3 linked regions of the Ovis aries genome follow. The protein of the gene in region 1 purifies or fractionates together with the protein of each later gene. This does not show direct contact. Links are inferred from orthologs where the notes say so. Each region holds a gene or a part of one and is shown in the gene's direction. Other genes may lie near its edges.

What was found.
Region 2: the proteins of RYK (region 1) and PCDH7 purify together in Homo sapiens (affinity purification with mass spectrometry; 3 studies listed by BioGRID and IntAct, with this or other methods). This does not show direct contact. The link is inferred for Ovis aries from reciprocal best matches to the Homo sapiens genes RYK and PCDH7.
Region 3: the proteins of RYK (region 1) and ADGRA3 purify together in Homo sapiens (affinity purification with mass spectrometry; 3 studies listed by BioGRID and IntAct, with this or other methods). This does not show direct contact. The link is inferred for Ovis aries from reciprocal best matches to the Homo sapiens genes RYK and ADGRA3.

The regions. Positions count from the first base shown.
Region 1 is NC_056054.1:255,842,180-255,845,290, forward strand, and holds the end of RYK (tyrosine-protein kinase RYK), read left to right. Parts: exon of another isoform or gene 1-825; coding exon 826-937; 3' UTR 938-1,968; downstream 1,969-3,111. UniProt on the Homo sapiens protein: May be a coreceptor along with FZD8 of Wnt proteins, such as WNT1, WNT3, WNT3A and WNT5A. Involved in neuron differentiation, axon guidance, corpus callosum establishment and neurite outgrowth.
Region 2 is NC_056059.1:50,573,159-50,577,457, forward strand, and holds part of PCDH7 (protocadherin-7), read left to right. Parts: coding exon 1-1,479; intron 1,480-4,299.
Region 3 is NC_056059.1:42,569,846-42,574,144, reverse strand, and holds part of ADGRA3 (adhesion G protein-coupled receptor A3), read left to right. Parts: intron 1-2,491; coding exon 2,492-2,637; intron 2,638-4,299. UniProt on the Homo sapiens protein: Orphan receptor that may have a role in planar cell polarity pathway.

The DNA.
Region 1 (3,111 bases):
ATCTGGCCTTGCCAGCTGGTGTGAATTGATATACGTATAAGGAAGATGTTCTGGTCTAATGAGTGAGATATCTCCCGTCTCCTGCTTTTACCACATAGCTAGTCTTCCCATGTAATGGGATCAGAGTGGGCAGGAGGCTCTTCAGGGGTGTGATTAAGTCTCAGTTCCAGAATCCCCTGAGGTTTTTATACTGTGATGAGGGGGCAGCTTTGTACAGATTTTGCTATAGATCCAGGATTCTTACAGCTTAGTTACAGCTTCCCCTTCCTCCAAGTTTTTTCTCTCACAACTTACATACAGTTGACCCTTGAACATTGTGGGTTTGAGCTCTGCAGGTCCACTTCCATGTAGATTTTTTTTTCAGTGATAAATGTTGCAGTATCATACAGCCTATGGCTGGTTGAGTATATGGATGTGGAGGAACTGGGGATATGAATGGCTAACTATAAGTTATATGCAAATTTTTGACTTGTGCAGAGGGTCAGCTCCCCTCCCCGCTGTGTTCTTCAAGAATCAACTGTGCAGGATAAAGCAGATTATTATTTTGACTGTGTTTTAAATAGTTACATAAAATCTCTACTTGGTGGTATATTTTGACATGTTTCAGAATTGAAATCCACATGTAATGTCCACATAACTCATTTTTGCTCTGCGAAGAGATTGATTTTTAATATGTCTTCCTCTCCACACCTACATTTAGACTGAAAATGTAGCTGGTATCATATTGATCAAAAGGTTAAGAGTAACACCTTGTGGAAAAACCCAAACTTTTTGGCCAACCCAGTATATCGTCAATAGGCAAATTTTCTGGTTTTGTCACTGCAGATTTGCTGTGATGGCTTGTTGCTGGGCCTTAGATCCGGAGGAGAGGCCCAAGTTCCAGCAGCTAGTCCAGTGTCTCACAGAGTTCCATGCAGCCCTGGGGGCCTACGTCTGACTCTGCTCTCACAGTCTCACAGCATCAGGAGGAACGTGCCTGCCGGGCCTGCTTGGAGCCAATCTTGGATGCCACATACGTCACGCAGCGCCACAGAAGCACATTTGTCTTCCAGAACACCATGCCTTAGGAATGCTTTAGAATTTGAACTATATAAGACAGACTTAATGATATGGAATATTTTCTAGATATCACTTTTATTAGATTGAACTGAAAATGTTTGTGTAAATTTTTTGGCCAAAATTTTTTTAAACATAGTTAACTTTGGACTAGGGTACATTGTTACAAAATAAATAAACAGTTTTTTAAATTGTTTAAACATGGATATTTGGAATAGCTATCTTAGTGCCAACTGCTTTTTTTTTTTTTTTTTTCTACTTCATCAATGTAGGTGATTCACCTTTAAAGTTTTTTGTTTGTTTGTTTTAATATCACCAGTCTTGGGAATGGTTTGTCTTCAAGATGCAGTACTTTTTCTTAGGGGGGGGAAAAAAAAAAACAGAAAAAAATGTTGGTTTGCCTTGTACAGGAAAAGCTAATGTTGGAGGAAGAAAACTTAAAGAAAATCTAGAGAGGAAAAAAGAAAAATACTTAACTGGAAATAGAAACTGGCCTTTCATGGAAAATTGTTTGTTTTTTTATTTGTTTAATGGAAAAGGGTTCTGCTTTCTTATTTTGGGGGAAGTAGGAACTGAGTTCATTGAAACATCTTAAATTTGGCAGAACCTAGCATTTCGGAGAGCCAGGAGTGGGCTTGGGGGCAGGTCAACAGTAAACAATGGTAATTTTATTTATTTTTACTCTTTGGAAAGGAGATAACAGAATTCCAGAAAGTGAAATCCTGTTTTTATAGTTAAGACTCCCTTTTCTTGCACCTAGAATAGTGCTATGCACAGAATGGGTGCTTGAGTGTTTTGAGTTAAAAAATGTAAACAGGTAGATTTTGTGCTTATTTTCAAGGCTGACTTAAGTATAAAAATTTTTTTTTTAAAAGAAAACACTTGAAAAATTAAAATATTTGTTTTATATTATGACAGTATTGAAAATGTTCTTCATGATGAATAATTGTTTGTGTCTGATAAGTCTCTGAACACACAACAGCTGGACACCCTGTTTCATTTCATGCATGTCTCACTCAGGCTCCCAAGCCCTAACACAAGTGCAGTCGACTCTACTCAGCCACCAGGTTCTAATAAAAAGTTGAGAGTATTATTACAGGACAGTATTAAAACACTAAAGCTTTTCTCCAGAGCCATTAAATTTAGGGTATATGTGTTTATGCTTGGCTATAGTTGGCCTAAGGCAGAGGTGGTTGGGCCTCTTAAATGTTAATAGCTAGGCCTTGCAGGTGCCTGCCTCTGCTCCCATCCTCAGGAGAGAGAGTAGAGAGAGTACGTAGCAGTTAAAGGCTTTTGCTCTTGTTAAAAGGAGCTTTATGAATCAGCAGTTCATTTGGGGAAATAGCTTACATGGTTCGTGCTCTGCTACAAGCAGCCAAGACCATGGTCTCTCTGGGTGCTCCTTTTGAATACTGGTTCTTTGGTTTTGTAAAATACTCAGCCGCCTAAAGGGCCAGCTCTTTGAACTTTGTAAGTGATAGAAGTTTGGGTTCACAACCTGCAGTCTTAGAAGACATTCAGTCAACAAATATTTATAGCATTTACTATATATTATTATGCACATGAAGTGAGTGGTTAAGCTCTGGCATCACTTCTAACATTCAGTGCATGTTTTTAAGTGTTTGGGATAGTATGTTGTTTAGATATCACAGTTCAGTACACAAGATCAGTTCAGAGAAGAAAGTGCTGTCATTGACTTCTACCCTAAGTTAGCATGTGGTAAGAGGTGCTCTCAGTTTGCTTGGATGTGCAGTGCCTGTAACCGTATCTCTGTTTATAAGTTATTTTATGTTTGTATATTTGTTTTAGAAGTGGTTTAAGACTTAGATAGGTTTTTCTTGCTGAACTACTTGGAGTCATTGACTGCAACAAAAACAGCAGGTATAAGATTTCCATGGCTGGTCTCGTTCCAGTGGTTTGTGGATATTACTGAATAGATTTTGTAGAAAATGTAATTTTTATAGGAAAGAAGCAAATTGGCAAAGCGCTGATGTGGTATAAGCTAGTGACAAAGAACACTGTTACATTCTCTCCTTATAACAATCCCATTGTAAG
Region 2 (4,299 bases), on another chromosome or scaffold:
AAAAACGCTGAAATCGCCTACTCGCTGGACTCTTCCGTGATGGGGATCTTTGCCATCGATCCCGATTCTGGGGACATTCTCGTCAATACCGTGCTGGACCGCGAGCAGACTGACAGGTACGAGTTTAAAGTTAACGCCAGAGACAAAGGCATCCCCGTGCTACAGGGCAGCACCACAGTGATTGTTCAGGTGGCTGACAAGAATGACAATGACCCTAAGTTCATGCAGGACGTCTTTACCTTTTATGTGAAAGAAAATTTACAGCCCAACAGCCCCGTGGGAATGGTCACAGTGATGGATGCTGACAAGGGGCGCAATGCAGAGATGAGCCTATACATAGAGGAGAACAGTAACATTTTTTCCATTGAAAATGACACGGGGACTATTTACTCCACGATGTCTTTTGACAGAGAACATCAGACCACATACACTTTCAGAGTCAAAGCTGTGGATGGGGGAGATCCTCCCAGATCTGCTACAGCCACGGTCTCTCTCTTTGTGATGGATGAGAATGACAATGCTCCCACTGTCACCCTTCCCAGAAATATTTCCTACACTTTACTGCCACCTTCAAGTAACGTCAGGACAGTAGTAGCTACAGTGTTGGCAACAGACAGTGATGATGGCATCAATGCAGACCTTAACTACAGCATTGTGGGAGGGAATCCCTTCAAGCTGTTTGAGATTGATTCCACCAGTGGTGTGGTTTCCTTAGTGGGAAAACTCACCCAAAAGCATTATGGCTTGCACAGGTTGGTGGTGCAAGTGAATGACAGTGGGCAGCCTTCCCAGTCTACCACGACTCTGGTGCATGTGTTTGTCAATGAAAGTGTTTCTAATGCAACTGTGATTGACTCTCAAATAGCCAGAAGCTTGCACACCCCACTCACCCAGGATATAGCTGGTGACCCAAGCTATGAAATTAGCAAACAGAGACTCAGTATTGTCATTGGGGTGGTTGCTGGAATTATGACTGTGATTCTAATCATCTTAATTGTAGTGATGGCAAGATATTGCCGGTCCAAAAATAAAAATGGCTATGAAGCCGGCAAAAAAGATCATGAAGACTTTTTTACACCCCAACAGCATGACAAATCTAAAAAACCTAAAAAGGACAAGAAAAACAAAAAATCTAAGCAGCCACTCTATAGCAGCATTGTCACTGTAGAAGCTTCTAAACCAAATGGACAGAGGTATGACAGTGTCAATGAGAAGCTGTCAGACAGCCCAAGCATGGGCCGATACCGATCAGTTAATGGTGGGCCTGGCAGTCCTGACCTGGCCAGGCATTACAAATCTAGTTCCCCCTTGCCTACTGTCCAGCTTCACCCCCAATCACCAACTGCAGGAAAAAAACACCAGGCCGTACAAGATCTACCACCAGCTAATACGTTTGTGGGAGCAGGAGACAACATTTCAATTGGATCAGATCACTGCTCTGAGTACAGCTGTCAAACCAATAACAAATACAGCAAACAGGTAAGATGCATCCCATATATATTTAAATATCTAAGACAGGGCATCTTCTGCAAAGTCATGTCTTCACTCTTAAAGCTATTAGTTAAATTTTTAACAGCAGGAAATTAATGTTGGTGTAATTCTTATACCACTTATTTAGTAGAAGACATTTACAAAAGGTGCACCACTATAGTTTGCACCTTATACCAGAGTGTACTAAGTTACAGAAGAAAGCACTGTAAGTGGTATTTTACGCTTCTCTTGGTGTTTGACAATTCTAATTCATGCTACGTTTTTTGTTTCCAGATAAATATGTGTGAACTGTTTGGATGGCTAGTTTTAACCTAAAATTCTTTTCTTTTGTGCTACTAAGTGGATAATTTTATCCAAAGACAAAATTTCTAAAGTTACTACTGCTGTCTATGCAAATTGGACACTAAGTAGTTTTAGCTACATTATATATTATGCAGAATTTTACAGATAAGCAGATGCTGATTCATGCAAATGAAGTACCAAGTCTGAGATATTGAAATGCTGACTGACAAAAATGCTGACTTAAAAATATTTAATGATATGTAAATACCATAAAAAACTACATTTTAATATTTCAGTATCTATACAATTAGGCTTTTATGAGGATATGCAGTTGGCATTTGTAGTATATGTATTTGGTATGAAAAGTTCATAAGCAAAAGTAAATTGCATGAATCATGTATTATTTAAACCAAGTAACAAAAATGTTCATGTTTGATGTAGTGTGTGAGAATATTTTGGTATGCATTGTGATATATTGAGACTATAAAGGTTTTATGGAATATTTGACACAGTTTTTTCTCAGTGAAGTGTGGAAACTGAAAAAAAAAAGCAAAGTATATTCTGAGGTGAACTTCAGAAAATATATAATTTATTTTTGAAAGTTTTGTTTTGTGTAATGTGTGTGTGTGAGTGTATAACTCACAAAGTTTACTCTTCTCACCCATCAACATTTGACACACAACAAATGAAAACCGTTTGGAAACGTCTGTACCTAAAGCTGTAGCAACTCTGCTAATAAAACATTACATATTTCTTACCGCCAGAACATTTCAGGAAACATATTTATGTCTGTCAAGCAATATCCAATAAAGAGTGTTCTATTAAATATGTTTTGCATATAGAATGTGTGATCTTAAAATAATTGAGACAATGTAAAAAGTTTATTTTATAGCCTCACTGAAGATGTTATTGATGGGCTCATTAAAGGTATAGAAAAGAGATAAATATTAATTTCTTATTGTTTCCTATAATTTTAAAAATAAGCATTATAAAGAAATGTTTTTGATGTATTCCTTTATTGTAACTATTTGGATAAGGAGAAATAGACAGTATGCTTTTATATCCAGTTACCAAAGCAATCCAAGAAAACACAGGTCTGAACTACATTGAATTAAATGACTTTAAAAAAGATGTCTTTTCAAGTACGTGAGTCTTATTTCCTATAAACTAAAATATGCCAAGTGGAAAGTATGTTTGTTATCGCTTTACCTAGGCTTTAGAGGCAGATTTCTATTTTGTTTTTGGTGCTTTTATCTGTTTTATAAACAAGGAAGATTCCAGTTAAAAGTAACAGCACTTTTATAACATTAGCTATAGAACCCACAAATAGAGATTTGTAGAGATTTCTTTAGAAAATGATAATTTGTTAAGAGAAAGCATGTGAAAAGATCTTTATGCAGAATACGTACTTCACTGTCATCTTAAAAGAACTTTGTATCCTGTGGTTGACTAACATTTGCATTCTAAATTATGTAATCTTAAACTTTTGAGTGGACATATCAAGTGGCAGATTTATAGATATTTTATACAACTATCTCCTATGTTCTGTTCTGTCACTTAAGCTTTATTTGACTCATCAAATAGGGTTAGCTCTATATTCTTGAATATTTAAAACAGCCAATATCAAGAGTGTGGTGGCATCCTGTCTAAAAGGCAAAGTGATATGCTTATAAATAAACTAATGTATGGTGTTAGTCTCTTAACTGAACAAGGAAGTCCATATATCAGAAGAGAAAACCTACAAAGCCGTTCAAATAAGCCATGCAGTTTGCCAAAAATAACTTTGGAAAACATATATGTTCTTAAGCATTTGAAAGATGTATGAAATTTTAACCACAATAAACAGCTGATCTAAAATGAAATAAAGGCAAATGAAATACATTCCCCTTAATGTAATTAGTGATAGTAATTGATATGCTTCATCTACTCAGTATTGCTGTCAGGAGACAAGGGATCCATTTACAAATTTACATTCTGTTTTGACATCTGGCATAATGAGATCTTTTTTGTTCTCATTTTTGTTTGTGCTGTAGATAGATGATTTTCTATATTTATTTTTAAAAGATATTGCCTTTTTAAACATCACCAAAATGTATTTTCTTTGATTAAGCCTGAATTTTTTTTAATTCAGAGTTTTCTTATAATTTCTCCTCTTTAATGCTGAATTTATGTAAAGAACATCTTGAGAGTTGCCATTTTTAAATTTCATATGGTAGGGATTAATTAAAAAATAGATTTTATCTGACATAAAGCCTTTATTAACTTATAATTTTCCTGAATTACCTTATTATAGTTCCTTATTTGTGATACAATGAAAATGATGTCTATTCCAGTGTTTTTATCTTCATGAGAATAAGTGTTGCTCCTAAGTTCTGTTAATGGTTAGGCTATAGTGAGTTAAACAGCTTTGTAGAAATGAAAGTTTGTAAAAAATGCCCCTTCCTCTTTTTTGTTTGTTTTCATGGGTTCTAGAGACAGTCAAATCAATATTCTATAGCTACTCCTGGACAGAATCTGGGAGATAAT
Region 3 (4,299 bases), on another chromosome or scaffold:
AGAACATTTGGTGATTTGCTTATGTGACTATTACCAGGTGCCTTTAGACCCCTAAAATTCCACTATGGCAATAATTGTTTAACTGGAAGGCTTTAGGATCTTTTAAGTATGAACACTTCTCTGCAAATTTTGAAATGCCATAGGAAACACTTCAAAATCTAAAGATTGAGTTTTACCTCTTAGATCTAAAACAAGAAAATTCTCCATCTTGCACCTTCTGTGTTGAAAATATTTTTAACTTGTGTTTTGAAGCTTATTTACAGCCTTGTCTCATTCTTTTGACCTCTACATCGGAGAAAACTGTAGAAACAGTAGAGGATATCATTTTGAGTCAATATCATTGATTGGTTTTGAATGTTTTGGTTTTTATGCACCAAATCCAATTATACTATTTTTATTTACAACATCTGATGTGACTCCAGATAGCTCAGAGGGTTATTTTATGCTTTTTGTTCCACTTGCATCTGTAAGCTTTGCTTTTATAGTGCAGTGAGTAAAGCTAGTATGAACCATGGAGCAACTTTTCTGCTTAAGAAGAAGATACTGTGAGGACTTCCCTGGTGGTCCAGTGGTTAAGAATCCATGTTTCCATTGCAGGGGACGTAGGTTCAATCACTGATTGGGGAACTAAGATCCCCTGTGTTGCACAACACTACCAAAATATAAATAAATAAAAATTAAATTAAAAAAATTTTTTAAAGATGAAGATACTCTGACCATCTGGTTCGGCCAGGCTGGATCACCCTCCTAGCCCTTTCAGCCATTGAGAGGGTAGTGACTTCCCTGGACAAGTGACCACCCTAGTTTTTGCCTTGCAAAATAATCTGTGTACTTCCATGTCACCAAGTCTAATGAGGTTCATGTCTCATTAACATGAGCCTTAGCAGTCTAGATGCTTCTGTTACTTACGTAGGATTGATGATGTCAGTCAGTTTGATTTTCTTGAGATTGGAGAGTCATCCTTTTTGAATTAAAAAAAAGTGTTTTTTTTTTTTCCCCCTTGGAAATTTTCATTCATAGAATTTCACCTGTAATCGTTGTATAAGAAGAAAGGATCAAAAGATAGAATTAGATAAGAAAGTTGAATTATGTCCTTGCTGCTCCATGCATTTGTTTTTCTTAAAATAGATTTTAAACCTCTCTTATCTCATGTTTATTTTTATCTAGAATTTTATCTTTAACTGCTGTTGCTTCAGACACAGTTCACAAGGGAAACATGCCCCCTATCATCCCTCTGGGAGGAGCTCAGTGTTATCACTTACCTATATTGCAGTTCTCCATCATCTTTCGAGTACTTATTATGTCCCAGGTGTTGTGCCCTTTCAGTCCCTACAAAAACCCCTAGGGATGCTTATGGATAGTCTTTTTGCTGTTCAAATGAGGAACATTAATTTCAAGAATGTTGACGTTATTTTCTTAAAACCATACTCCTAATAATAATAAAAATATTGCTGTATTTTTAATCATGTATAATGTACCAGGCAAAGTGCTAAATGCTTTATATAGGGTGTTCTATTTAAAGCCTTGTGGTACTTTGATATTATCCTCAGTTTACAAATGAGAACAGTGCTTGAGATATTCTGCGAGTTTGCTAAGGTGTCACAAGGGGTAGATTCTGGTTTTAAAACCAGGCAAAATTGTTAATTCTAGAGCTCACTCATTTCACCGATCTGTTATACTGCTCACTTGTCATCCATTTTGATACATAAAAGCTGTGAATTAGAACTATTCAGGTCTCTGACTCCAAAGATTATTCTCTGTGCTGTGACTTTTGCCCTCCAGTTACCCTTGACGTTCTCCTGATAGCTAAAGGTAAAGAATCCGCCTGCAATGCAGGGGACCCCAGTTTGATTCCTGGGTCGGGAAGATCTCCTGGAGAAGGGATAGGCTACCCATTCCAGTATTCTTGGGCGTCCCTTGTGGCTCAGCTGGTAAAGAATCAACCTGCAGTGTGGGAGACCTGGGTTCGATCCCTGGGTTGGGAATATTCCCTGGAGAAGGGAAAGGCTACCGCACTCCAGTATTATGGCCTGGAGGATTCCATGGACTGTATAGTCCATGGGGTCGCAAAGAGTCGGACACGATTGAGCGACTTTCGCTCTCACTTACCCTTGACATCTGCATTCCTCTTTAAAATAGACTTTAGGAACTCAACTCTGATTTATAACATAGCATCTATGGGAAACATGGCTTTGGTTTACTGTTGTCCAGGAATGAATTCCATGGTATGTTTAGTGTCATCTTAGGTATAAGTTGTAGTCCGTGGGCCTCCTGTATTCAACTATAAATTCAGTCCTCTATTATATGTCTGTTGGAGTGCTTTCTTTGTTCATTAGTGGGCAAAGGAATGGATCATTAGAATATACCTTTGTACAGTTTTTGAGTCAGATATTCAAAATAACTTACCAGTCTTTTTGAGGAAGCTTACTAGCAATTATTATATTTTGATTGTAAAGGGGAATTCATTTAGTTCATGTATTCTTCTTTCTAGGTTGGAATAATTCTTCATTATTCCACTCTTGCTACAGTACTATGGGTGGGAGTGACAGCTCGGAACATCTACAAACAAGTCACTAAAAAAGCTAAAAGATGCCAGGATCCTGATGAGCTGCCACCTCCACCAAGACCAATGCTCAGGTATCCAATATCTTCGTGTACTATCTTCTGTTACATGTCCACACATATTAATTTAATGAAGTATGGTCATATCAAAAAATTACTGAGTGAGCTTTGTAAGGTGGAAGAATAGACTTGTAAGCAGGCTTGCAGCTGGGAGTTCTTTGTGAAGTTCTGTATCCTCTCTTGTCTTTCTGTCTTATCTAGAAAGTGGGAATGATTCTCTTTCATAGACTTGTTGTGAGGCCTAAGTGACTTAATGTGTAAAGCACTTCAGACGGACGGTACTGGCCGTGGAATAGACTCTGAAAATATCAGTTGTTTTTATTTCCTTGAGGTCATTTAGTAGATTTCAGTCTTCTCAAGTATGTATCAGTGTCGTTATTCTCCAAGAAAGAAAAAACCGTTTTGGTGTTGTGCCGTTCCTAATATCATAATTTAAATCAGTTGTCAATGAACTATTATTCTGGACGAGTAGAGGAGACAGGTGTGAGAAGAACTACTGCAGCTGTGTGAGAGCTGGAGTGGAAGTACATTCTCTGAAAGCGCCAAAAAGGGACTGTAATTCTGAGGGGTCAGGGAGAGGGGGCGGCTATTAAGAATAGCTTGACTACCACATAAAGGGCAGAGGTGGCACTTCAGATACAGAATCATATCTCAAGCTGAACAGATTTGAGAAGTGCGGTTTGACTGTGGCTGGAACCTAGGGTTTATGGTGTAGAGTAGCATGATTCAGAGTAAAAGCTGAGTTTCAGGTTTTAGAGGGCCAGATTAAATTGTGGGCTATACATTAGAATGCCCGAAAGTAGGAGACATCTACAAATAATTCTGCTGAGGTCATTAGGAGATCCCCATGATTACTGCATAGGGTCTTCTGCCCATTTCAAAATTGGGAAAGGAGTATTTCAAGGCTGTGTATTGTCACCCTGCTTATTTAACTTATATACCGAGTACATCATGTGAAATGCTGGGCTAGATGAAGCACAAGCTGGAATCAAGATTGCCAGGAGAAATATCAATAACCTCACATAAACAGATGGCACCACCTTTATGGCAGAAAGTGAAGAACTAAAGAGCCTCTTGATGAAGGTGAAAGAGGAGAGTGAAAAAGCTGGCTTAAAACTCAACAAAAAAACTAGGATCGTGGCATCCAGTGCCATCACTTCATGGCAAATAGATGGTGAAACAATGGAAACAGTGACAGACTTTATTTTCTTGGGCTCCAAAATCACTGCAGATGATGACTTCAGCCATGAAATTAAAGATGGCTTGCTTCTTGGAGGAAAAGCTATGACAAACCTAGACAGCATATTAAAAAGCAGGGATTTTGCCAACAAAGGTCTGTGTAGTCAATGCTATGTTTTTTCCAGTAGTCATGTACAGATGTGAGAGTTAGACCATAAAGAAGGCTGAGTGCTGAAGAATTGATGCTTTTGAACTGTGGTGTTGGAGAAGACTTAAGAATCCCTCCGACTGCAAGGAGATCCAACCAGTCCATCCTAAAGGAAATCACTTCTGAATATTCTTTGGAAGGACTGATGCTGAAGCTGAAGCTGAAGCTCCCAATACTCAGGTCACCTGATGTGAAGAACGGACTCATTAGAAACGACCCTGATGCTCAGAAAGATTGAAGGCAAGTGGAGAAGGGGGTGACAGAGAACGAGATGGTTGGATGGCGTCGCT